Linked DNA regions of Arabidopsis thaliana. The protein of the gene in region 1 interacts with the protein of each later gene in a pairwise test. Each region holds a gene or a part of one and is shown in the gene's direction. Other genes may lie near its edges.

What was found.
Region 2: the proteins of SOB3 (region 1) and KIWI interact in a two-hybrid assay, tested with the Arabidopsis thaliana proteins (one large-scale study listed by BioGRID).
Region 3: the proteins of SOB3 (region 1) and LTP2 interact in a two-hybrid assay, tested with the Arabidopsis thaliana proteins (one large-scale study listed by BioGRID).
Region 4: the proteins of SOB3 (region 1) and AT5G62300 interact in a two-hybrid assay, tested with the Arabidopsis thaliana proteins (one large-scale study listed by BioGRID).

What each region holds. Positions count from the first base shown.
Region 1 is NC_003070.9:28,702,292-28,708,529, forward strand, and holds SOB3 (Putative AT-hook DNA-binding family protein), read left to right. Parts: upstream 1-2,671; 5' UTR 2,672-3,240; coding exon 3,241-4,149; 3' UTR 4,150-4,400; downstream 4,401-6,238. UniProt on the Arabidopsis thaliana protein: Transcription factor that specifically binds AT-rich DNA sequences related to the nuclear matrix attachment regions (MARs). Acts redundantly with AHL18, AHL22 and AHL27 in the regulation of flowering and regulation of the hypocotyl elongation.
Region 2 is NC_003076.8:2,872,206-2,878,381, reverse strand, and holds KIWI (ssDNA-binding transcriptional regulator), read left to right. Parts: upstream 1-1,772; 5' UTR 1,773-1,902; intron 1,903-2,004; 5' UTR 2,005-2,013; coding exon 2,014-2,148; intron 2,149-2,260; coding exon of another isoform or gene 2,261-2,300; coding exon 2,301-2,406; coding exon of another isoform or gene 2,407-2,423; exon of another isoform or gene 2,424-2,777; coding exon 2,778-2,896; 3' UTR 2,897-2,901; coding exon of another isoform or gene 2,902-2,961; 3' UTR 2,962-3,194; downstream 3,195-6,176. Other genes in the region: VPS20.2 (vacuolar protein sorting-associated protein 20.2), read right to left, coding at 27-52, 130-262, 421-504, 661-813, 967-1,119, 1,484-1,585; AT5G09240 (ssDNA-binding transcriptional regulator), read left to right, coding at 3,602-3,733, 3,847-3,958, 4,317-4,489; SRT2 (sirtuin 2), read right to left, coding at 4,769-4,819, 4,939-5,038, 5,111-5,238, 5,312-5,476, 5,556-5,685, 5,762-5,922, 6,032-6,077. UniProt on the Arabidopsis thaliana protein: General coactivator that functions cooperatively with TAFs and mediates functional interactions between upstream activators and the general transcriptional machinery. Binds single-stranded DNA.
Region 3 is NC_003071.7:16,125,192-16,130,987, forward strand, and holds LTP2 (lipid transfer protein 2), read left to right. Parts: upstream 1-2,984; 5' UTR 2,985-3,289; coding exon 3,290-3,636; intron 3,637-3,747; coding exon 3,748-3,757; 3' UTR 3,758-4,208; downstream 4,209-5,796. Other genes in the region: AT2G38510 (MATE efflux family protein), read left to right, coding at 1-254; LP1 (lipid transfer protein 1), read left to right, coding at 5,227-5,573, 5,693-5,702. UniProt on the Arabidopsis thaliana protein: Plant non-specific lipid-transfer proteins transfer phospholipids as well as galactolipids across membranes. May play a role in wax or cutin deposition in the cell walls of expanding epidermal cells and certain secretory tissues.
Region 4 is NC_003076.8:25,018,980-25,025,091, reverse strand, and holds AT5G62300 (Ribosomal protein S10p/S20e family protein), read left to right. Parts: upstream 1-2,527; 5' UTR 2,528-2,736; intron 2,737-2,842; 5' UTR 2,843-2,856; coding exon 2,857-2,974; intron 2,975-3,238; coding exon 3,239-3,352; intron 3,353-3,561; coding exon 3,562-3,704; 3' UTR 3,705-3,892; downstream 3,893-6,112. Other genes in the region: IRE (AGC (cAMP-dependent, cGMP-dependent and protein kinase C) kinase family protein), read right to left, coding at 1-738, 819-995, 1,084-1,151, 1,264-1,687; AT5G62290 (nucleotide-sensitive chloride conductance regulator (ICln) family protein), read right to left, coding at 4,120-4,191, 4,291-4,382, 4,489-4,554, 4,647-4,706, 4,816-4,924, 5,157-5,280, 5,358-5,524.

The sequences.
Region 1 (6,238 bases):
CGTTCTTATCGTCTAAATTATTCTTACTTATGTCCGACCCCCTTCTAGCTGGTACAGTAAAAGTGGATAATTAATACTAATACCTATCAAACAAGTGGGGAAACTTTGGTAAGAATTTCAATTTCTTTAATATATATAGCTTGGTACTACCAAGATCAAGTAGTAGCATAGAGGAGGGAATATGTGTGCGAATTAATATTAAATGCTGTTAATTAATTAACCAACTAATGTATGGTTAAATAATTAAAAGTATTCTAAACGTTGAAAGCAATTATGTATAACAATAGTTTTCTAAATATAGTTCATATTCAACGTTTGAAAGAATGAACATATTAGCTCAAATCTGTTAAAATAAGTGGTGTTCTAAACACGAGAGTTCGATTACAAAACTAATGAATCTCGATCATTATTTTCTTCTATGTTAGAATACTGAAAAGACATTTAATTTGCAATACATTATCGCATAGTGTAATAAATGTTAAGTTCCACCTCTTAGCAAAAGACTGAGAGAGGAGGTCCAATGAACATCGTTGACAGGAAAAAAAGAGAAAAAAAAAACGTCTTAATTTTTTCTATACTTGATAAAATTTAAAAGACATTTAGATTATAATTATTAACATACTAAAAATGTGTTTCATAAATTGCAAAAAAAGCAAAGAATGGTTTGACTCATATTTATATGTAAGAAATAACCTTTGAGTTGAAAAGAATACACAAAATAACTTAGAACCAAATAGTACTTGTCGGTTACAGAAATTTTGGCAATATTTAGTCTATTTTAGCCTTTCTCTTTCTTCTTCCTTCTTTTATTTCTTTTTCATGTTCTTTACGAGACTTTAGCCATAGAGTTCTCTTTCTCTTTTCATCTTTAACACAATTCATCTTCTTCAGATTCACCATGTCATTTTCTTTTTCTATTTCTCTCTCCCTCTCCTAAAATAATCTTCACCACCTCTCATAAAATATATCATCATATCTCTTTATTTTTGTTCACCCACATGTTCTCTCTTTCTTTTTCCATAGAAATCTCTCTATCTCTCATTCTTTATTTTCTCTTTTTACCTGAATTCTCCGTCAATGTCGTTGTGATATAAGAGATTAAATTTGATTTTAAAACAAATATCTGATTTTAAAATGCATGTATTTTAAGAACAAAACATGTTATTAACACTAATATATTAATATTTGTCATGCTATCCAACAAAAACTCATGAAATAAATAAATATTTGTCATGTTATCCAATAAAAACCCATGTAATATTGTAATTTTTTAAATTTCGCAATCTATAAGAGAATTGCATGCTTTTTATAAATATTTCGTGCTATTTCTGAAAAACACATTATTTCAGAGAAACATATATATCGTGTATATATATTCTGTATGTATTTTAAAGAATTGCATGCTCTTTTGTAAATATATCATATTATTTTAGACAAATACATAAAAACTTTATAACTACAACCACCGATATTTTTGTAAAAACAAGAAAATCTAAGGATATTTTAGTATTTTATCCACCATAGAAAATGTTATTTACCTAAGTTTCCTGACACAAGGCTATTCTCTCAATTCTTTTCAATTCCATGGTTACTTTCTAATATTACCCTATATAATATTGATATTTTCAAACTTTTGATGTAAATATGAAATTTTCAATGTAGAAACTTAACACATGTCACTGGAGAGATGATGCTTTTTATATGTTTATTTTAAACAAATCCCACTTAAAATCTGTATACACTTTTTTGGGGTACCTTATGTAGATTATATCGAATTTCATGAATTTCTAACTTAGAAAGTTAATATACATTGATAATAAATAGTTTGGTCTATATTTTTTTTACTATCAATAATAATTTATAATTAGTTTAATAAAAATTGAAGTGCACTCACTCATGGTAATAGTTTTTAATTAGTTTTAGAATATATGACCAAGACCAAAAACATTTTGAAACTGAATTTAGTTTTGAATAGGTAGAATCTCGGTTTTAAAGAAAATGATGAAATTCATAATGGAAGGCGTTACATGCACACGCTTCAAGGCAATTCGATTCATGGCTAACATTTTTGATTCACTTTTATTTTACTTTTTGTCATCTGTTTATTCTGTTTCAATTAAGTGTCGTTTTAAGACTTTAATTTTGTTTCAGGATAAATTTTATTTTATATTTTCAATGCAAATATTTTTTTTTGTTAAAATTTCATGTCTTATCTATGTTTTTCTAACAGATTGACAAAAAAAAAATCTATGTTTTTCTAACGTATTAACTGATGAAAGAAATATAATTGTGTATTAATGAAAGATAGAAGTGAAACTTTAATTAAATTTTAATACTATATGTTAATTAACTTTAAACAGCATATAATGATAAATGGTGGGAGTATTACATTTGTTTCTAGGGAATACTGCATTATTATGCGGACAAATTTGATATGTAACTTTCAAAAACTTATACAATAATTTATATTTAGACTTCTCGTTTGTTTTCTATATAATAATTTCCAACAACTTTATCAAAAAAAATAAAAAAAAATTCCAACAATTTAATATCAGCATGTTTCTTCCATCTCCTATTCATATACCTTTGGCTTTTAAATTGTAAATTTCTTAATTTCCTTTTTCTTTAAATTTTAACTCTTAAAAGTTTTCCTTTATTTTCTTGGTTTGAAGCTATATGCCAAAAAGGGAAACGCATATATCCAGAGAAGAAAAACTCGAAACCCTTGTCTTTTCATGGATTTCAAGTATATTATTAATATGCAATTATTCGTATATTAATATATGCCCCTATGCGTATTTTATTTTTTAATGCGAAAGGAATGATATTCAGCTAAATTTTCGGTGTGTCTATTGCTTTTTTTTTCCCTTTCCTCGTTCAAAAAAAGTACTTGCAGAGTCACTCACTCTCAGTCTCAGCACATGAATTAATTTGAAGCTTCCCTAGAATTCTTTCACATCAATTAATACGACACCGTCTCGGGTGAAGAATCTCTCCTCTCTTGCCCTAAAGCGAGTTAGGGTTTAACACACAAAGCATACCCTTTAGATTTGTGTCTCTTAGCTCTGTTTTTGTCGGCTTGTGTAACCGATCAACTCAAGCTATTGGCTCCTCACCTCCTGAAATTTGACTTCTCCAATGGATCTCAAAGTTTCTCTTATATGAATTCTATCTTCACCCTCACAATATCTTTATATATATGAGCCACAAGAACAAGAAGAGTCAGTAGATGCGGCTGCCATGGACGGTGGTTACGATCAATCCGGAGGAGCTTCTAGATACTTTCACAACCTCTTCAGGCCTGAGCTTCATCACCAGCTTCAACCTCAGCCTCAACTTCACCCTTTGCCTCAGCCTCAGCCTCAACCTCAGCCTCAGCAGCAGAATTCAGATGATGAATCTGACTCCAACAAGGATCCGGGTTCCGACCCAGTTACCTCTGGTTCAACCGGGAAACGTCCACGTGGACGTCCTCCGGGATCCAAGAACAAGCCGAAGCCACCGGTGATAGTGACTAGAGATAGCCCCAACGTGCTTAGATCTCATGTTCTTGAAGTCTCATCTGGAGCCGACATAGTCGAGAGCGTTACCACTTACGCTCGCAGGAGAGGAAGAGGAGTCTCCATTCTCAGTGGTAACGGCACGGTGGCTAACGTCAGTCTCCGGCAGCCGGCAACGACAGCGGCTCATGGGGCAAATGGTGGAACCGGAGGTGTTGTGGCTCTACATGGAAGGTTTGAGATACTTTCCCTCACAGGTACGGTGTTGCCGCCCCCTGCGCCGCCAGGATCCGGTGGTCTTTCTATCTTTCTTTCCGGCGTTCAAGGTCAGGTGATTGGAGGAAACGTGGTGGCTCCGCTTGTGGCTTCGGGTCCAGTGATACTAATGGCTGCATCGTTCTCTAATGCAACTTTCGAAAGGCTTCCCCTTGAAGATGAAGGAGGAGAAGGTGGAGAGGGAGGAGAAGTTGGAGAGGGAGGAGGAGGAGAAGGTGGTCCACCGCCGGCCACGTCATCATCACCACCATCTGGAGCCGGTCAAGGACAGTTAAGAGGTAACATGAGTGGTTATGATCAGTTTGCCGGTGATCCTCATTTGCTTGGTTGGGGAGCCGCAGCCGCAGCCGCACCACCAAGACCAGCCTTTTAGAATTGAAAATTATGTCCGTAACATAGCTGTAACCAAATTTCATTTCTCAAAATTAAAAGAAAAAAAAAATCATCTTCATTGTTTGGGGATCGTTTGGTTTTTAATTTAGTTGATCATATATGAATATTTGAATTCGTCTTGAGATGATATACTTCTCCATCTGCATTTTCTCTTCTTTTTTAATCACTAGGGTTTCGTGCTGTCCCTATATATTATTTGTTATATGCTTGAGTTCACAATAAAAGTGCTATTAGAAGCCAATTTTTATATATCACTTAGTTACCTTTGTAATTGGATAACAAAAAAGTTATTGAGTACATTTTATAGAAATATTGAAATGGCTCATACTTGTATATATCATGGATGTGGTATGTGTAATCCCCTTTTTGAGTAGTTATCAAAGGTAATCACTCAATCTATGTTACTATGTCTATCAAGTAATCAACCAACAAATCAAACATCTTGTTCTTTTTAATTCATCTAGATACCATACATGAATCTTCGAGATTTTATGATTTGAAAATCTCTAGATTGAATATCTTGTTTACGCATGGAATCTCTGATTTAGTACATGTTTCACCCAACTGAGTTCTACATTGTATTTCGATGAGATCAATATGAATATTTCTTCGTTTTTATCAATTAATCACGAAAATAACGCGTTAAGAATCTACCAAAAAGTAAATAACGCTTTAGAAATTTTACGAAAAACTAAATAACTATTTAGAATTTTATGAGTTTGTTTTAAAGACAGCGGTTACTGTGATAATTGCATACTATATTTTTGTCGATTATAAGAAAAGATTCGCCCACCCGTTACAACGATATAAACATGATTTTTCGACGGTTACAAGTTAATGGCTTAAACACGAGAACATTACATGACCTGCCAAAACCAAAATATGAAAAATTTGTCCCAGAGTTTCATTTATCAGTTTCCTTTTAGAGGATTAGGAAAGTCTATAACAACACAGCCAAGTGGGGCTTTAAGTACAAAGATGTGTGAAAATGAGGAATGCATCAAGTCCCTAGGGAAACTATGTATGGACCGTATGAAAACGTATATTTAAAAAGAAAATCAAGTGAAAGGAAAAGCTTGTACATGACCAATGCATGTCCAAAGGAGATTTGTGGTGAAATATCTTCAATGAGCTTCTAAGAGAAGACAGGTGACATTTATGTATATAAGAAATGGAGTCTCATCATGTTTACTGTTATACAATGAGAATGAGAGATGGTTTAAAAACCTCTTATTTTCATAATTTTCATATATTTGACATTTTAGGGCTTCAACCATGTAAAGAGAATAAAGGGTAATGTACTTTGAGACCTTTTCGATACATGCACTGTGACTTTATCTTTTTAAGATATCCATGTGCTCATGTCAAGTGCCTTACATGCAGTTGAGCAACGATTGGGTTAAGAAATCTTGTTCATTGTGTGTTTTATACGAACGGCTGATAAGTAAACGTAAATGTGAAGGTTTCCCTATATATACGAATTATGATTGGATAGATATATAGATCCTTTAAGTAACATATGTTCTACACTATCTAGACTACTAACTATTTTACACCCAAAAAAGAAGAAGGTCTACACTATTGTGTGGGCCATAGAGCTTGAAGAACATATGTTACTTAAAGGATCATGGTTCGAACTACAACATTTTTAAGTATGATTTGTTATTGTAATTGTTTTACATGAAAATAATATCATACTTTTTCATAAATTCTGAAGATTGGTATGAATTCGACCAAGAATCTCACGGTTGTAAAAAGAGAGAACTTAAACAAAAATTGTATACTATAGTAGTATAGTCACATATTATTAACTATTACAATAGAATGTTTTGCTAATTTTTGTCTGATGTCAACAGAAAATAGATAAGCATGAATATCTAAAAATCACAAAACGTGTTAGATGTAAATATATAATATTGGGTCTAATGCAAATTGGAAGTTGCAATAATATGTTTAGTTTTTTTCTTCAAAAAAAATTTTCTTGACTTTCCTCATCATATATATATATATATATATGAATGCAATTGTGGATCACGAAAGCAACACGACACATCTAAGGCCTAATTTTC
Region 2 (6,176 bases), on another chromosome or scaffold:
AGTCTATCAGATTCTTCACTTCTGAATCAAGCTTCCAAAGGTTCTTCAAGAACTGCAACAACAAAAGCATCTATGAGTTAAAGGTTCTTTGTATGAAGCAATTGTTACTTGAACAAACATCACAAAAACCTTTTCTCTTTGTTGAAGTGGTTTCATTGGAAGCGACTGGTGCTTTTGTTGGCACATCAGGGAGATCCATTTTCTCGGGTTCTTCAGGCATGAGCTCTGTCGTAGGCACTTCAGGCATATCTTCAACAATCAGCTTCAAAACAAACAAACATTATATATCACATTTGACTCCACTCAAGAAGATTGTTTCACAAAGTAAATGGTGGTACTCGAAACATCAATAGGGCAGTACGGTCATAATGCTGGAAACAATTGTATCTGAGAAACAAGAGAATCCATTATGTAGCATACCAGACTTTCTAGGTTGTCGAATTCTGCTAAGATCTCTTCTTCATCTTCCGCTGATAGTTTCTCACCTAATATGGCACTCAGTTCCTAAAATCAAAGTGTTTAACAGTTAGATCAAGCAAGGGAATACTCATAACCATGAAGGAGAAAAACAAGGAGAAGCTCGGCAAATGTGACAAATGATTGTAACTATAAGCGAACCACACAAACAAAAAGGAACAACAAGATTCACTATTAACTCACATCCTGATAAGCCTTGGCCTCGGCAGTGTCATCCATCAGTTTTTGAACATCATCAAGGTTGACCTCGCTCTGAATCGCCTTAATTGCATTGTTACCTTGCTTTAAGCTCTCAAAGACTGCTTTTTGCTTGCTTGTAAGTTCGATATCTGCCAACTGAGTCATAAAGACAGGTTCAAAATATATTCGTTTATGTTTCTTTCAAAACATAAAATCAGCTATAAAAGAAAAGAAAAGTACTGTTTATATAGCACTAAGGTTATGTGATGGAAACAAGGAGATGATAAGAAGAAGGTCAAGCCAATTTACTTGTTGTTCGACATTGATGAGCCACTGATCTACTTGCTTCAACAACTCTTCTTGTGTCCGTTTTTTCTTCAATGCTAACAAAGCCCTGTCCTTTCGCTTCTCACGGATTAAGTCTCTTGCAGCTTGCTTTTCTGCTTCAATTACTTTCTCAAGCTAAAAAGAAAGGTTTAAGAGAAAGAAAGGTCAAAGCTCAGGATCATAGGAAAGAAAAAAAAAACATTTGCATTCCACTTTCTCAGCGATCAAACTCACTATCTACCAATAGTGGCGATGAAATAATTAAACCATCATTAGCTTGACATAAGAATCAACATTTGGATCCAAGACAGATTCTGAAGGCAACTTCTACATTTAACTGCTTCTTAAACCTCGAGAACCCATAGCCGAAATTCAGTAACCTTTACCCTTATTCATAACCATTAGTGAATCGAATCAAACTGCACTTTCTGTCTCAGACCAAATTCGAGCAAGAATAAACCCTAGAAATGCGAAATCACAAGGCGAAGGAATCAAGAACCTGTTGCTGATATTGACCAAGCTTGCGCCTTTGGGTTTTGAGAGAGAGAATCGCTCGATCAACCTCCGTGATCTTCGGTTTCTTCACGAATAAATTCCCCATCGAGTTTTGTCAAGGGTTCGGCGATTTCAAACCAAGTCCAAATCTTTTTGTTTTCACCTTTCCCAAGCAAAAAAGCTCCCGCGTTTTCTCAAATTCGCGTTTATAAAAAAGCGTTCCGAATCAAAACAACTGTCACAGTTCTAATTTTATCACACGCTCTGCAACAGCGCGTGGTCGGTGAACACATTAACATAAATACGCGAGAAGAGACGCGCCGATTCATTTTTCTTCAGAATCTCTCAATTCTCTTTTGTCGATTTCGCAGTAGAAGAGTCCTTTCGCCGTCTCCGAGAAACTCGTTGCAGCGTCACGACCAGGTTTCCTTCTCACTTTTACTAAATTTTGTAATTGCTCGGTTTTTTGTTTAGTGCGAGTTTACTCTGGTCTGAAGAGAACATTTTGGGTCTGCTTATTTACAGTTGGAGAAAATGTCTTCTAGAGGAAAAAGGAAAGACGAAGATGTCAGAGCATCAGATGACGAATCTGAAACCCACGCGCCGGCTAAGAAAGTCGCAAAGCCAGCAGACGATTCCGACCAGTCTGACGATATCGTCGTCTGCAACGTTAGTCTACACTTTCTGTCTATCTTTCAATTTCGTTATCTACTCTATTAGCAGTGAGCTTATGGGTTTCGGTCAAGTTTTAATTTTGTTGATGTGTTTTGCTCAAAATTAGGGTTTTAATCAAATTAGGGTTCATGTTGGTTATACATCAGATATCTAAGAATAGGAGAGTCTCTGTAAGGAATTGGAACGGGAAGATTTGGATTGACATTCGTGAGTTCTATGTCAAGGACGGAAAGACTTTGCCTGGCAAGAAAGGTAACTTTATTTTGTAATTTAAACCAATGCCCCTTGGCTCTCATAATTCATTATTTCTAGTAATGTGTTTCCTCATCTCTTAGTTTTATATTTCGTTACTGTTTTGCTTTGTTAAGTTTCTGCATTTAGTCAGGTTTATAGAATTGCATATCTTAGGGTTTTATAATAGGCAATTCTGCTTATTGAGACTGTTTATGGACTTGTAAGTATGAGCGGAGATGGTGCAGAGTGTTTGCTTTTGTACAACAACGTTTTGTTTATTTTGGTGCTATTGCTCCTTCATGTCTTTCTCTAGAGACAGCTATATTAGTTTATCTCTACATAACTAATCATGTTGACAAGATTATCTCTATGTTTGTTATACGTTGCAGGTATCTCTCTAAGCGTGGATCAGGTACTCACATCTCTTTCTATCTCTCTCCACTGTTTTATGTCTCCTAGAAGTGTTTCTGTTTTCTTGTTATTTGCTTATTACACAGCTTTTCCTTAATGCAGTGGAACACTCTTCGGAACCACGCAGAGGATATCGAGAAGGCCCTCTCTGACCTTTCTTAGGTTTTAAAACTTGTATCATTGGTTGTACGTCTATTAGAATATGGCTCAGTTGTTTTGGTTGTTTTTGTAGAACAACACCATGTTCTGCTAGTGTAAGCTGCTTCAAATTAGTTGGTGTATGGAATCTTTCACTTTTGGTTCAGACAAGCTTTGGTTGGTATTAAGAATATAATGATTGCTCTTTTATTTACTGCTGTAGTGCTGTTTTATTTGCAAATTAAGATACGTTGCAGGAATACAAGTATTCATTTGATAAGTTATAAACAAGATAGGTCTAAATGTTACATAGCTCTTGCCAAACTTCACTTGATCCGGACAAGGCCATAAGCAGACATTGTCTTTGAAGATGAACCCATCACAATAAATGTATCACTCTGTGTTGCTACTTTCATTGCTATAGTTGCTCTTTTCCAAAGAATATTTACCTTCCCAAAAAACTCCCCCGTTTTAAGTTTGGCCGCGCGTGTTCTCAAACTGTGCGCTTGTAAAATGGCGTTCCGAATCTGATATCACAGTTGTAATTCGGTGAACGCAGTAGATATATTACGCGAGAAAAGGAGAGAGGTGCTTTTTATTTAACTTGAGAATCTCAAGAGTCAATTTTTGCAGTAGAAGAGTGTTTTTTTTAGAGGTTAAGAAAATGTCTGAGAACGGAAAAAGGAAAGACGAGGATGTCAGAGCATCAGACGACCGCGACGAATCTGAGACCCACGCGCCGCCTAAGAAAGTGGCAAAGCCAGCGGACGAGATTGAGGACATCTTCATCTGCAATGTTAGTCTCTCTACTATTCATCTCTTTTTTGTCTGTAGCAGTTCGTATGAGTTTTAGGGTTTGGATCAAGTTGTGATATTTGTTTATGATGTTATGTTTTGTTTACATTCCAGTTAGATAAGAATCGGAGAGTCTTTGTGAGGAATTGCAATGGGAGGATTTGGATTGCCATTCGTCAGTTCTTTGTCAAGGACGGTATAACTTTACCTTGTAATAGCAAGCAAGGTAAATTTTTGTTTTTAACTACATATCTTCTTTTGACTGTCTCTCTTCTTCTCACAATTCCACATTTGCTAATACTCTGTATCCTCCTCTCTTTTCTTTTTTATGGTCAACAATGTATCCTCATCCCTTTGTTTTCATGTTTTGTTTCGTTAAGGTTCTGCATTTAGTTAGCAGATCTTAGGGACTTTTATTATATATCTAGTACTTCTGCGGTTTGGGACTGAGAGGAGGAGATGCGCAGAGTGTTTTCTTTTCATCAACAACGTCTTGGTTTTTGTCTCCTAGGGCCAGCTATATTAGTTTGCTTTCTTTGCATAATCATGTTGACAAGATTTTCGATGTCTCCTATATGTTGCAGGTATCTCTCTAAGCCTGGAACAGGTATTCACATCTCTCTTCCATTGTTTATGTCTTCCACACGTGCATATGTCCTGCTTATTACACGAGACCTTTTTCTTAATGCAGTGGAACGATCTTCGGAACCATGAGGAGGATATCGATAAGGCCCTCTCTGAGCTTTCTGAGGTTTAAAAGCTTGTGTAATCGGGTATTGGAAGGTGGCTTTGGTTGTTTTGGTTTGTTTTTCAGAACAACACCATGTTCTGCAAGTGTTAGCTGCTTCGAGTTAGTTCATGTGTTGAATCTATTATTTGATGTTGATTACTCTTTTATTTGATGTTGGATTTACAACTTGAGATACGTTGCAGGAATACAAGCATTCATTTTGATTAGTTATAAATAATATATATAGGTGATCTAAATGATAACATAGCTCTTGCCAAAGTTTACTTAAATGATCCGGACATTGTGCTAGAGAGCTGGGACACTGAGCGATCCCACGTCAAGAACTCTGTGCAATATCTGCAGCAAACCAATCACGAAATGACAAATTATTAAGGCTGACAATCATGAAATAATATGGATATTTAAGGCATTTTCAAGGCTGAAGGAAAGGGAAGAGCTTTATGCTATGCTCATACCTCACCAACCCTAGCATTGATTTTCAATGGAACAATGTCATCAGCTCTTGTTTCGCCTATATTTACAATTGCGGTCATAGCACCAGCCTCATGAGCCGCTCTGCAAAAGGTATATAGAAAGCTTCTTAGTAAGATGCAAACTCAAAACTGGATGATTATTCTCCTGCATCACCTGCAAAGGCGAAAAGCAGACATTGTCATTAAGGATGAACCCAACACGAGGAATGCATCGCTCTGTTTTGCAACTTCCATTGCTTGAGTAGCTCTTTCCTTCGGGATGTTGTCTCCAAAGAAAATTACCTTCAATTCAACGAGAACATAATAAGAAACAGAGCTAAACTGATTCGTCTCTATCTGATTAAGTCAATCTTACATCAGGCTTTAGGACTCCTTTGCACTTCTCACATACTGGTATATGAAAACCCTCTTCCCAAAACTTTTCGTCAATCTCGATATCACCATCAGGCCTTTGTTTCATGCCAAAGCTCTTCTCTGATCCTGGATCTCCATGATCAATACTTTCTATAGCTTCAGCCCACTACAGTTGAAACAAAAACGTTGTAACTTTGCGAGATGATACATTAATCCAGTTTATTCAGGTTATGGTATACACTGGCCTTAGGATTGATTGCTTTTAGCTGATCCTGAAACAAGTCTCGGGGAAAAGAGAAGCCGCACTCTAAGCACATAACAGTATATACTGTGCCATGTAATTCAAGTGGATCGCTCCCAGCACGATGATGCAACCTAACAACTTAGAGCTTAGAGTCAACATTCTTCACATCCAACAGAGATCCTACGGAAGAGGAACTGAAGGATATACCTGTCAACATTTTGTGTGATCATAAAATTTATTCGTCCAGCTTTTTCTAGTGATGCTAAAGCAGTATGAGCTGGTCCTGGTTGTGCTGCAGTGAACCTCCTCCATCCAGCGTAACTCCTCGCCCAATACCGCCTACGAGCTCGGCTTGATCGAGTAAACTCCTGTGAAGGAGGTTGTAGACAATAGATTAATACAGTTATACAATAGTAAAATGATCCAAGGTTTGCATTAAGAACTGTAAAGATTTCATAGATCTTGCCTTCAGATCACCTGATGGGTAATTGGTTTGAAACCAGAACTGTATGCTCCATTGGGACTGCACCAAATCATCAAATGGAACCACATGTAACCCATGAGACCATCAAAACGAGAATGCAAGGCATCTTCAGACAAGACTAATCGATCAAATGAATTA
Region 3 (5,796 bases), on another chromosome or scaffold:
CGTTTGGGTTTAAGGTTGGGTTTCGTGGGCTATGGTTTGGACTGTTATCTGCGCAGATGACGTGTTTGGTAATGATGCTTTATACGTTAATCCGTACGGACTGGTCTCATCAAGTGAAGCGGGCAGAGGAACTTACCTCCGCTGCAGCCGACAAAAGCCATTCGGAAGACGAAACCGTCCATGCTGAAGTACAAGACGATGATGATGTGAGTAGCAATGATCTGGAGATTGGTTTACTACAAAATACGAATTGACTAGTTTAGCTAGAAATGTTAAAATTATCAATCGACAATTTTTAACGGATTGTTAATGATATAGGAAACTTTTTTTTTTTGGCAAACTAAAAATACCGAAGATAGATTTGTGTCCGAACTGTTAACTAAGATTTTGTGAAAAGACTCAGCCATTTAATTGGTTGAGCTTAGCTTTTTCTAACACGCAGAAGTATGTAGTGAGAACAGTTGTGACGAATCTATCAAGGATCAATCAAGATCAATCACAATTCTACTTATGTAAACTATATATTCTGTAATTAGAAGTCTCTAGAACATCTAGTCTGTATATAAACAATGTAAATCATCTCAATACAAATCATCCAATTCTATATTCTTTATATGGTATCAGAGCATCATCGATACCTAAAAATAAAAAACCTAAAAACAGCCGCCTCTCTCCTTTCTTTCTTCTTCTCCCCCGTTGATTTTTTTATTCCTCTGTTTTTCAAACTTCAACCATGTCGAATGTTTCTTCTGAAACCGTCAACCTCAACAACACCTCCATTGTTCACATGAACATGTCGAATGTGACAAAACTTACGGCCTCCAATTACATAATGTGGAGCCGCCAAGTCCACGCTCTCCTTCACGGCTACGGTCTCACTCAATACCTTGATGCGACAAAAGCTGCTCCAGCTCGTGAGATTACCGTCAACGACGTTGCCTCTGTGAATCCTGAGTATGAAGCCTGGAGTAGACAAGATCAATTGATCTTCAGTGCTCTCATCGGCACTCTCTCTCTCACCGTCCAACCAACGGTGTCCCGCGCCGCTACCTCTGCTGATGTTTGGGCCACTCTTGCTGGTACCTATGCCAAACCGAGTCGTGGCCATATCAAACAGCTCCAACACCAAATCAAACAATGGAAGAAAGACACCCGCACCATCGACGAGTACGTTCAAGGCTTTATCAATCGATTTGATCAGTTGGCATTAATTGGCAAAATCATTGACCATGAAGATCAAGTTGATTACATTCTCGGGGGTCTGCCAGAAGACTACAAACCCATTGTTGATCAGATGGAAGGACGTGACACACCACCAAATGGATGTTTAACAAACAGTTGTGACGAAGATGGATGTTTTATCCAAATGGCTTTGAATAGTGTATAGAACAAGCAACAAGCCCGATTCGGCCCAAACCCAACCCCATTTAATCATATGTGGTTTTAGTAGTTTAAATAAGCTACTTTGAGTCTTTGACAACTGTTCTTCATATCCATCATAAATTGTGTAGCATTTTACATTTTACATTTTACGTTTGAAACTTAATCATAAGTTTTGTGAATCAAAGTTAATTGATAAAAAATCACTCTTAATACTTTTCCACGTCTACATCACTGTCATTTTCATTTCAGACTTGAGGCATTCATTTTTCACCATGTTTCAGGAAATATACTGCAATTTCTTACACGTATAGAGAGGTCCTTAATAAGTATGAGTAGCTATATCGTAATGTATTTATACCAATGTACTTTATGCTCACACGTGTTCGGTGTACATATAATATGTTGCATGTGGCATTTCGGTGCCTAATTATCAAGTTTTTACCGAAAATAAGGGAAAAGTATATAATCATGTAGCCTTTCAGACACCGACAAAAATTTTAAACAGTAAATACGATTTTTCTGTTCTTCTTAAACAGAAAATGATTAAACATGAATGAAACTTTTAAAAGCTTATTTTGACGACGTGTTCTTTAGCCAAATAGACGACATTTAAACACATCACCGGACCGGAAAAACACCAGTTGAAAATAAAATAAAAAATGTATTTGTAAAAGTCTGTTATTACAAGAAAATATGGTCGATCGTTCCATGTTTAATTGTGTTTCTTGACACTTTTTAGTTCTTATAAAACACCTTTACTACATAACTTGATAAGTTGGATGAGAATAAAGAATTATAATAGATTCTCATAAAAATAACTTTATAAGATATATTCTCTCTTATATATATATATATATATATATTATGAGATTTCCTAATCTAAAATAAAAATAAATGTAAATAATATATATAAATATTACTAAAACTAATATATGTTAATATTTTAAATCTTTCTACAATCTTTATGATTTTTATATTGTTCGACGATCATCTCAACCATTGACTCTCGATCTCCAACTACAGATAAAGTAAAATTTTACCAAAGAAAAGTCTAGTGACTCATCATACCAATAAAAAACACACAACACCTAGTTTTACCAAAATAAGACTAGAAATAGTACTATAGTAGTTATGGGACGATGGAGTGATGGTTTTGCAAAGCAAAAGCCAATAATTGTACATTTCAGGCCGAAACCGACAATGACCCCATCCTACCCATGTGTCATGCATTCAGTATTTATTATGTGTATCAGTCAAATTTTCACATAATGACGAACCATCTACATACAATCTATGGCGTGGCCTGTGGAGGGCAGGACAAACCGACATAATATTGTGTATATCCACTGAAATTTATTATTAAAAAAAACTAATACAATGATAAGTACTAGTATTAGTGATAAAAAAAACTTATACAACGTTGTTTTCATCTTACAATTAAAGATATTCATAAACGATAAATCTCTACTTCGAAATTTTTTAACATCTCCAAATGTTTGTTCAAGCTAGTAGTAGTCCACATAAAGTCACGTTGGGGTTTCAGGCTTTCGTTAAAGATTCACACCGTCGGATTGGGATTTCCAGACGTCACAGATAGACTTATCTTCTTCGTTAAATTTAGAATCCAAAGATTATTGTCTGCACACTCGTTATTATCTAAAACAGCCTTTTTTAGTTAAATTGACGATATTTTAGTGACATTCCAATTTTAAAATTCGTATGGGTCTACATTAAATGAGTACAGCGACCAACTACTCCTTCCCTCATAGTAGTATTTAGGTATTGCATTCACATTACATAAGATGTACTTTCCTACTCTATATAAACTCTCACTCCCCTAACACTCTTCATCATCCATCACATCTCCTCTTGCAAACCAACGTAAAACACTAACTAAGAGATCAATATGGCTGGAGTGATGAAGTTGGCATGCATGGTCTTGGCTTGCATGATTGTGGCCGGTCCAATCACAGCGAACGCGCTTATGAGTTGTGGCACCGTCAACGGCAACCTGGCAGGGTGCATTGCCTACTTGACCCGAGGTGCTCCACTTACCCAAGGGTGCTGCAACGGCGTTACTAACCTTAAAAACATGGCCAGTACAACCCCAGACCGTCAGCAAGCTTGCCGTTGCCTTCAATCTGCCGCTAAAGCCGTTGGTCCCGGTCTCAACACTGCCCGTGCAGCTGGACTTCCTAGCGCATGCAAAGTCAATATTCCTTACAAAATCAGCGCCAGCACCAACTGCAACACGTATGTGATCTTTTCACTCTTATAAGTATATGTTATAAATTTTTTAGTTTATTTTGTTAAATATTGGAAACTTATATTAACGTTGTTATGTTAATTTGTATGTGAATGCAGCGTGAGGTGATGAGCGACGGTCAAATGAAGCTACTAGCGGATGTTTCGAATATTATATAATCGATGAGATAATATTAAATAAAGATGTTCGAATGGCTGTACTCTTTTCAATTTCCTGTCTTTTTTTATCGTGGCGTTTCTATTATGTGATCGTCTGTACTATGTTCGCAAACAACGTTCTTTGAATTTCAGACTTGAAGTTTAAGTTATTCTATACTCTATATCTATACTAACACTTACTTTAGTTTAATCGATATGACCAAAATGATTAACTTGCATTACAGTTGGGAAGTATCAAGTAAACAACATTTTGTTTTTGTTTGATATCGGGAATCTCAAAACCAAAGTCCACACTAGTTTTTGGACTATATAATGATAAAAGTCAGATATCTACTAATACTAGTTGATCAGTATATTCGAAAACATGACTTTCCAAATGTAAGTTATTTACTTTTTTTTTGCTATTATAATTAAGATCAATAAAAATGTCTAAGTTTTAAATCTTTATCATTATATCCAAACAATCATAATCTTATTGTTAATCTCTCATCAACACACAGTTTTTAAAATAAATTAATTACCCTTTGCATGATACCGAAGAGAAACGAATTCGTTCAAATAATTTTATAACAGGAAATAAAATAGATAACCGAAATAAAGATAGAATGATTTCTTAGTACTAACTCTTAACAACAGTTTTATTTAAATGACTTTTGTAAAAAAAACAAAGTTAACTTATACACGTACACGTGTCGAAAATATTATTGACAATGGATAGCATGATTCTTATTAGAGTCATGTAAAAGATAAACACATGCAAATATATATATGAATAATATGTTGTTAAGATAAACTAGACGATTAGAATATATAGCACATCTATAGTTTGTAAAATAACTATTTCTCAACTAGACTTAAGTCTTCGAAATACATAAATAAACAAAACTATAAAAATTCAGAAAAAAACATGAGAGTACGTTAGTAAAATGTATTTTTTTGGTAAAATAATCACTTTTCATCAGGTCTTTTTGTAAAGCAGTTTTCATGTTAGATAAACGAGATTTTAATTTTTTTTAAAAAGAAGTAAACTAACTATGTTCCTATCTACACACCTATAATTTTGAAACAATTACAAAAACAAACAATGAAAATGCAAAGAAGGACGTAGGCACTGTCACACTACAAATACGTTAATAAAATGTATTTTGGTCGAATTATAACTTTCCATACGATAAAGTTGAATTAACATGTCAAACAAAAGAGATGAGTGGTCCTATACATAGTTAGGAATTAGGAACCTCTAAATTAAATGAGTACAACCACCAACTACTCCTTCCCTCTATAATCTATCGCATTCACACCACATAACATATACGTACCTACTCTATATAACACTCACTCCCCAAACTCTCTTCATCATCCATCACTACACACATCTCCTATTGCAAACGAACATAAAACACTACCTAAGAGATCAATATGGCTGGAGTGATGAAGTTGGCATGCTTGCTCTTGGCCTGCATGATTGTGGCCGGTCCAATCACATCGAACGCTGCGCTAAGCTGTGGCTCAGTTAACAGCAACTTGGCAGCGTGCATTGGCTACGTGCTCCAAGGTGGTGTCATTCCCCCAGCGTGTTGCTCCGGCGTTAAAAACCTCAACAGCATAGCCAAGACGACCCCAGACCGTCAGCAAGCTTGCAATTGCATTCAAGGTGCCGCTAGAGCCTTAGGCTCTGGTCTCAACGCTGGCCGTGCAGCTGGAATTCCTAAGGCATGTGGAGTCAATATTCCTTACAAAATCAGCACCAGCACCAACTGCAAAACGTATGTTAATCTCTCTCACTCTCTCAGATATTTAAGCTATAATTTGTTTCTTTTTGGGGTTAAATATTCGAAAGGTTATATTAACGGTGTTATATTAATTTGTATATATGTGGTTGCAGCGTGAGGTGATGAGCTAGCAACGGTGAGATGATGCTACTACCGGAAGTTTCGAATCCTTATTATATAATGGATGAGATTAATATTAAATAAGATGTTCGAATGT
Region 4 (6,112 bases), on another chromosome or scaffold:
AGCACTTCTGTCTGCAGATGCAGGCTGGCCTGACGGGCTATGCAAGTTTTCAGCGTTTTCATCACCATAAACTTTTGGTTGGATTTTGCTCTCCCCCTTAGCCTTGGGAGTGTTATTAAGACTACGGTTTTTCTCGGCAGCAGATGGAAGCTTCTTCCAAGATGACATCCGAAAATTGCTCGAAGTTGAATCAGTACTTCTAGCAGTATTTACTTCCACTCCATCAGCTCCGCTGTTCGAGTTCTGATCATCTTGTTTACCAGCTAGATTTTGCTTTTCATTTATCTTTTGGATTTCCTTCTCTCGAAGAAGGTCCTGTTGTCGCGAGATTTCCACCATCTGTTCAGGATAAACTCCAAGATCACTTAGCTGGTGCATTCCCAGAATGTGTTCTTCAACATAACCACTCTCTTTACGAAATTGCACAAGCCTATTGCAACGAGTAAGAATGAAAAGAAGACGATTATGAGCCTGTTTCAGTCCTCCCATGGGTAGCTCCTGACGTTTATCATCAAGCTTCTGAACAATACCTTCACATTTCAACCAAAACTCACTAGCTGGCATGGTTGCACATTGCCGAGCCTCAACTAACAAATCCTCTAGACCCACTCTTAATTCTTTGTTAGATTCTGGTGTGCTCTCTAGAGTTGTCACTAAATAGCCAGCAAAAACTCCTAAATCAGCATCAACATCTTCCTTTTGCTTATCAAACTTCGTTCTGATCGCCGCCATAATCTCCTGTAAAACGTTCCACAGATTGCATCAACCAAATGAGCAGAACTTATCAGAGGTGAGAAGAAGCATCAACCAACACTAACCTCCATGTGACCAACTGCGCGAGATCTCCACACGGGAAAAGGTCGCACACCTTTAGAATTAAGTTCATGAGAGAAGCTCTTAATGTCATGAGCTTTCTTCTTCCTTCCACTTGTGACACGCAATATCGCCTGAAAACGTGGAGATTGTGTTTCCTTGGCAAGACCTACATGAGTACTCTGCATTCACAAGAACAACAAAAAAAACGAATCAGCAATATAAAATTTTCCAAGAATTTGAAAAACAAACATAGAAGAAGACATTCACCTCTACCCCTGGATTTGAATTTGCAGGCACTCGTTGAGATTTTGATTGACTCCACTGAACTTTTTTCCCTAAAAGACAAAACAACAAACACCTCCTGATCATTAAGATCCTCTGAATCATCATCATCTAAGTTGAATTTTCGAATTCATAAATCCTAAATCGAATCAACGAGAAATCTACCTTGATCGGGTTGATGTGGAGGAATCGGCCATCTGGCACGAGCATCAGCACGAGCATCAACAACACCAACCCTCGGTTTCTCCTTGGCGACGTCTTTATCATCTTGACCCGGAGATATCAAAGGCGTGGCAGATGAAAATCTCAAAGGAGACGGCGCAGGAGACGATTTCGTTCTGATATGATTCAAACCTAAGGAAGAAGGAGCAAGAATTTCCGGCGAATCGTGACTCATCGGACCTTCCCCAGCTAATTCCGTAGTAACCTCGTCCGTCTTCGCTTGTTCATCTTCTCCTTCCTTATCCGAATGGCGGAAAGGAATCGCAGGGATCTTCTTCAGAAGCTTCGCATTGGTGGAAGTCGGAGTAGATATGGTGGTCGGTTGTGGATCCCGATCATTCTCAGGCGACGGTTCCGTCGTAGACATTTGTTATTAATAGAAAAATTTGTGGAGAATTATTTGAATTTTCATATTTACACTCTTTTAATTTTTGTTTGTTTGTTTGTTTTGTGATTTTATCAAAACATAACGATTACAGAGAAGCGGTTGCGAGAGAGAGAGAGAGAGACTGAGGTTTTCGCGGGAAGTGGGGGACTCCGTTTTTACTACTTGATGCAAAAATTGGCTCATTCGCCATTTTTTTTGTTCTTCTTGCAGATAAATAAATTTGACTATTTACATCTAAATTTTATGGTAATTTGTTATCTTTAATTCAATATGACTATAGTTATAGTATGATACTTCTATTTGATGTTAACTTAATATCTTTAAATTATAAAGATTTGCTGTCAACAAAAAATAATTCTAAATTAGTTCCAAATTCAAAAGTCAGACAGAGATTTTATTATGGTTGTGATTTGTGATTATTCGTTGTATTCTTATATCCATAGTGCTAAAGTTATAATTTCTGACTTTATTATTCTTACAACACCTTAAGTTATTAATGAATGGTGATATTTTATGATTTGTATAGTTCTTAAAGAATAATCATGTGGGAGAGTGTCCATATCGAAACTACGTGCTTCCAACAAATGCATGTCTTCCCCATTTTCTAGAAATAACAAAGAACTTAATTTTTTTTTGTTTAATTTTAAAAAATAGCCGTTCGTGATGTTTTCTCTGGGTTGACTAAAAAACACGGTACCAAGATATTTTTGGTTAAAACTTCTAAAAAATATTAATTTGTTTTTTATAATAACACGTTTATTCATTACAAAAATTTATGTAATTAAATCAAACATGGTTTGTATTTTTTAATAAAATGAATTGTTTTCCAAGTAATTGGGTCAAAACACAAAAGAAAAATACAGAGCAAATATTTTTGTAGTTATTGGGCTGAATATTGTTTGGGCCCAACAAGTCCATATAAATTAGGGTTTTCATATTAAATCAACCGTCTCTTAGGTTAAATCATTCGACTCCTTCCTTCCTTGCAGCAAAAAGCAATCCGCCGTCGAGCTTCGTTCGTCTCTCAGGTTCTCTTCACTTGATCCAAGTTTTAATATTTTTCATGTTTACATGAGTTTATCGGATCATTTGTTAATGTGATGGATTGGTTGGTGTGTTTGTGATTGTTTTCAGAAGAAGCTGCAAATATGGCGACAGCGTATCAACCAATGAAACCAGGGAAGGCTGGTTTGGAAGAGCCACTCGAGCAGATTCACAAGATCAGAATTACTCTCTCCTCCAAGAATGTCAAGAACTTGGAAAAAGGTCTTTCTTTTTTATCCTTTTATTTTGATTATCTTATCATTTCGCTTCAGCAATTTAGTTTTGAGCTGCTTTCAAAACCGTAAAGAATGTTTGAGGATTCAATGTTTTCCTAGTTTTAGTGAATTTTGAAGGTTTAGTTTTTTCAGTAGAAGATGATAGATTTATTGACTTCGATTTGCTTCAGTGATGATTCGAATGGTTTGAGAGTGGACATTTTGATACTGATTTATTGTTATTGTTCTGTTTCTACAAAATGATATGTAGTGTGTACTGATTTGGTTCGTGGAGCTAAGGACAAGAGACTGAGAGTTAAGGGTCCAGTCAGAATGCCCACCAAGGTTCTCAAGATCACTACCCGTAAAGCTCCTTGTGGTGAAGGTATGATGATTATGCTCATCTCATCTTTTATATTGCCTTCAGAATCACTAGAGCTTGTTGTTGGAACCACTCCCTTAGTTCATTTGCTCTATTAAACCTAGGATTTAGGTCTTAGAATTTGTGATTGTGCTCAATACTGTTTTATACTCTGTCACTGCAAGTGTCTTCACATTTGCTGAAACTCTCTTAACTATTGGTATTGTAAACAGGAACCAACACATGGGACAGATTCGAGCTTAGGGTACACAAGCGAGTTATAGATCTTTTCAGCTCTCCTGATGTGGTCAAGCAGATCACCTCCATCACCATTGAACCTGGTGTTGAAGTTGAGGTCACCATCGCTGACTCGTAGATCAACCCTTCTGTGGCTTTGGTATCTCTTTTCAAATTCTCTTAAGAAACAATCTTCTTTTCCCGTAACGACATTCCTTTTGAGTTAAAAAAAAAACAAATGTTTTGTTGTAGTGAAACCCAAGTTCTTATGTTTTCTTAATTTAATAGATTTTGAATTTTTTAATTAGAAGTTCGTCCTTTATTCTTAACTTGAGATCTTTTGACCCTCTCGATGACATAACTCTGTATGAAGTTACCAACTTGCTATCTCATTTCAAATTGAGAGATCTATTACGAGAAAGATTAAAGTTTAATCAGCCATAAATTGAAAAGCTAAGTATCACGAACATAATACTTTATCGTTGAACATAATACAACTCTTTCATCGTTAAAATAACACAACTACTATGTTTTCGAGTACAATTGTGAAGAGTCTAGTGATCTTTGGTCTCACTTTCATGAACCATCTCTTCAGCATCCTCAAACCTCTGATCATTGATTTGGAGCTGCAGTGTGAATACAAAAGGCAGATGAAACCACGCTCAATTTTTTAAAAACAAAAAAAGAGGAAAAATTGAAAGCAGAGTTTTGTAACTTTGTATTACCTCAAGCATAGGCTGATTAAGACCTTCATCTCCATTGGAATGACCAATTACACTAGTCGGACTCTGAGATATTTGCCACTCTGCATCATCATCTGTTGCAAACACATAGAAAACCATCACATTTCATTCGTACCATTCAAGATGAATACATTAACACACTCTTTAATTCGGTCTAAGTCATATGAAAACATTAATTACCTCCTCCACGAACATCCATCTGATCAGCACTAAACACCCAATTATGTCCGCTTTCTTCTTCTTCTTCTGAAAGATGCAATGAAACCAAAGATATAAATGGCTAGGTAACCAAAAAATGCAATTAGTGATACTATTAAACCAGTAATTATATGTTTTACCTTGAACTGGTTCAGGATTCAGCTCAGCACACTCGCAGAATACATCAAACAGCGTCTCCACTTTCATATGACAAGACAAAACGATATATCAGCTTAATAATATCCAAGACTCTTATATAATGAAACAGCCGATTCTAATAGCTCTAAAGATTGCTACATAACAACTCACACTGGGTAGAGTCAGAAGGAACAAGCCTCATCTCTCTGATCTTTGATAAGTCCAAAACTTCAGTGGATTCTGAATCAGACTCATCATCCTCATCTTCTTCAACTTCAATCTTCAAAACATTAAACCAAAAACTTAGCAAAATGAGAACAGAAAAGACTTAATCACACCTCTCAAATCCAATTAAAACGTGTAAGCCACTTTCTCAAATTCCAGCAAGCACTTGCAACAAGCAACATTACAGTACAGGCCTAAGAACTAATCACAATCAACGAGAACAACACTAATTCCCTTTTAAGCTACCAAGTCTAACAAAACCCAGAAAAATTGCAAGAGTTGAATACCTGAGTATATATACAAGGAGATGAATAAGCCTCAGGATCTCTAGAAACAGCGTGAAGCGATATTGATAAGAAATCAACTGCGTATCCTTTAGCCATGTCTACATCGCTCAGCCAAATTAATTTCCTGAAATCAAATCACAAAATTAAGCTAAGACATTTATCTCAATCGAGAAGGACTAGATTTTGAGTTAATTTTTGTACCTGGAAGTGATGTAGAGAGTTCCGGGAGACTCAATGGGACGGTTTCCGAGAGCGACGGCGACGGAAGTCTGAACGTGCATAAGTTCCTCGCCGTTAGATTCATCCAGTACCGGTTTCCCGGAGCCATCTTCGGTTCTGAGCGTGAAATCTCTTAGACCAGCCACCATTTTTTCCGATCACAAAGAAAGAATCGTCAAAAAAAACAGAGATTTTCAGGCAGGGTTTTTCTTAGGGTTTCTCAGAGGAATGATTTGTTACGTTTACTGATGAAGAACACTACAAGGCTTTTGACAAAATGGGCTTCGTTAAAAAAGCCCATACTACATTAAAACATAAGCCCACTAAACTATTGAGATCAGATAAGTCTCTCTGGTGGTCCATTTCCCTTGAACCTTTTTTGTTACTTTGTGTGAATGTAATGTTTGGTTGTTGATTAATGTTGTTTCGAATAAATTTTGTTATGTAAATATATTTATGGGTGAAAAATGTCGTTGTCTTTGAGAGTGATGAGGTGTGGGAGATGATGGATAAGGAAGAGATGGGGGTGGTCATTCATGGGGATAGGGGAAGGTTATGGGACATATAGAGATTGTGACAATGCTTTATATTAATGAACGGATCATTGTCAACAACGACTCTTCTCTTCAAATTGTTATCTATTTTCTTAACGGAGATGTCGGTTGATAAAAATAATATACATTCATTACGAGTTGTCTACTTCGAAGAAGGAGTTTATTTGGTGCCTCCCAGCTATG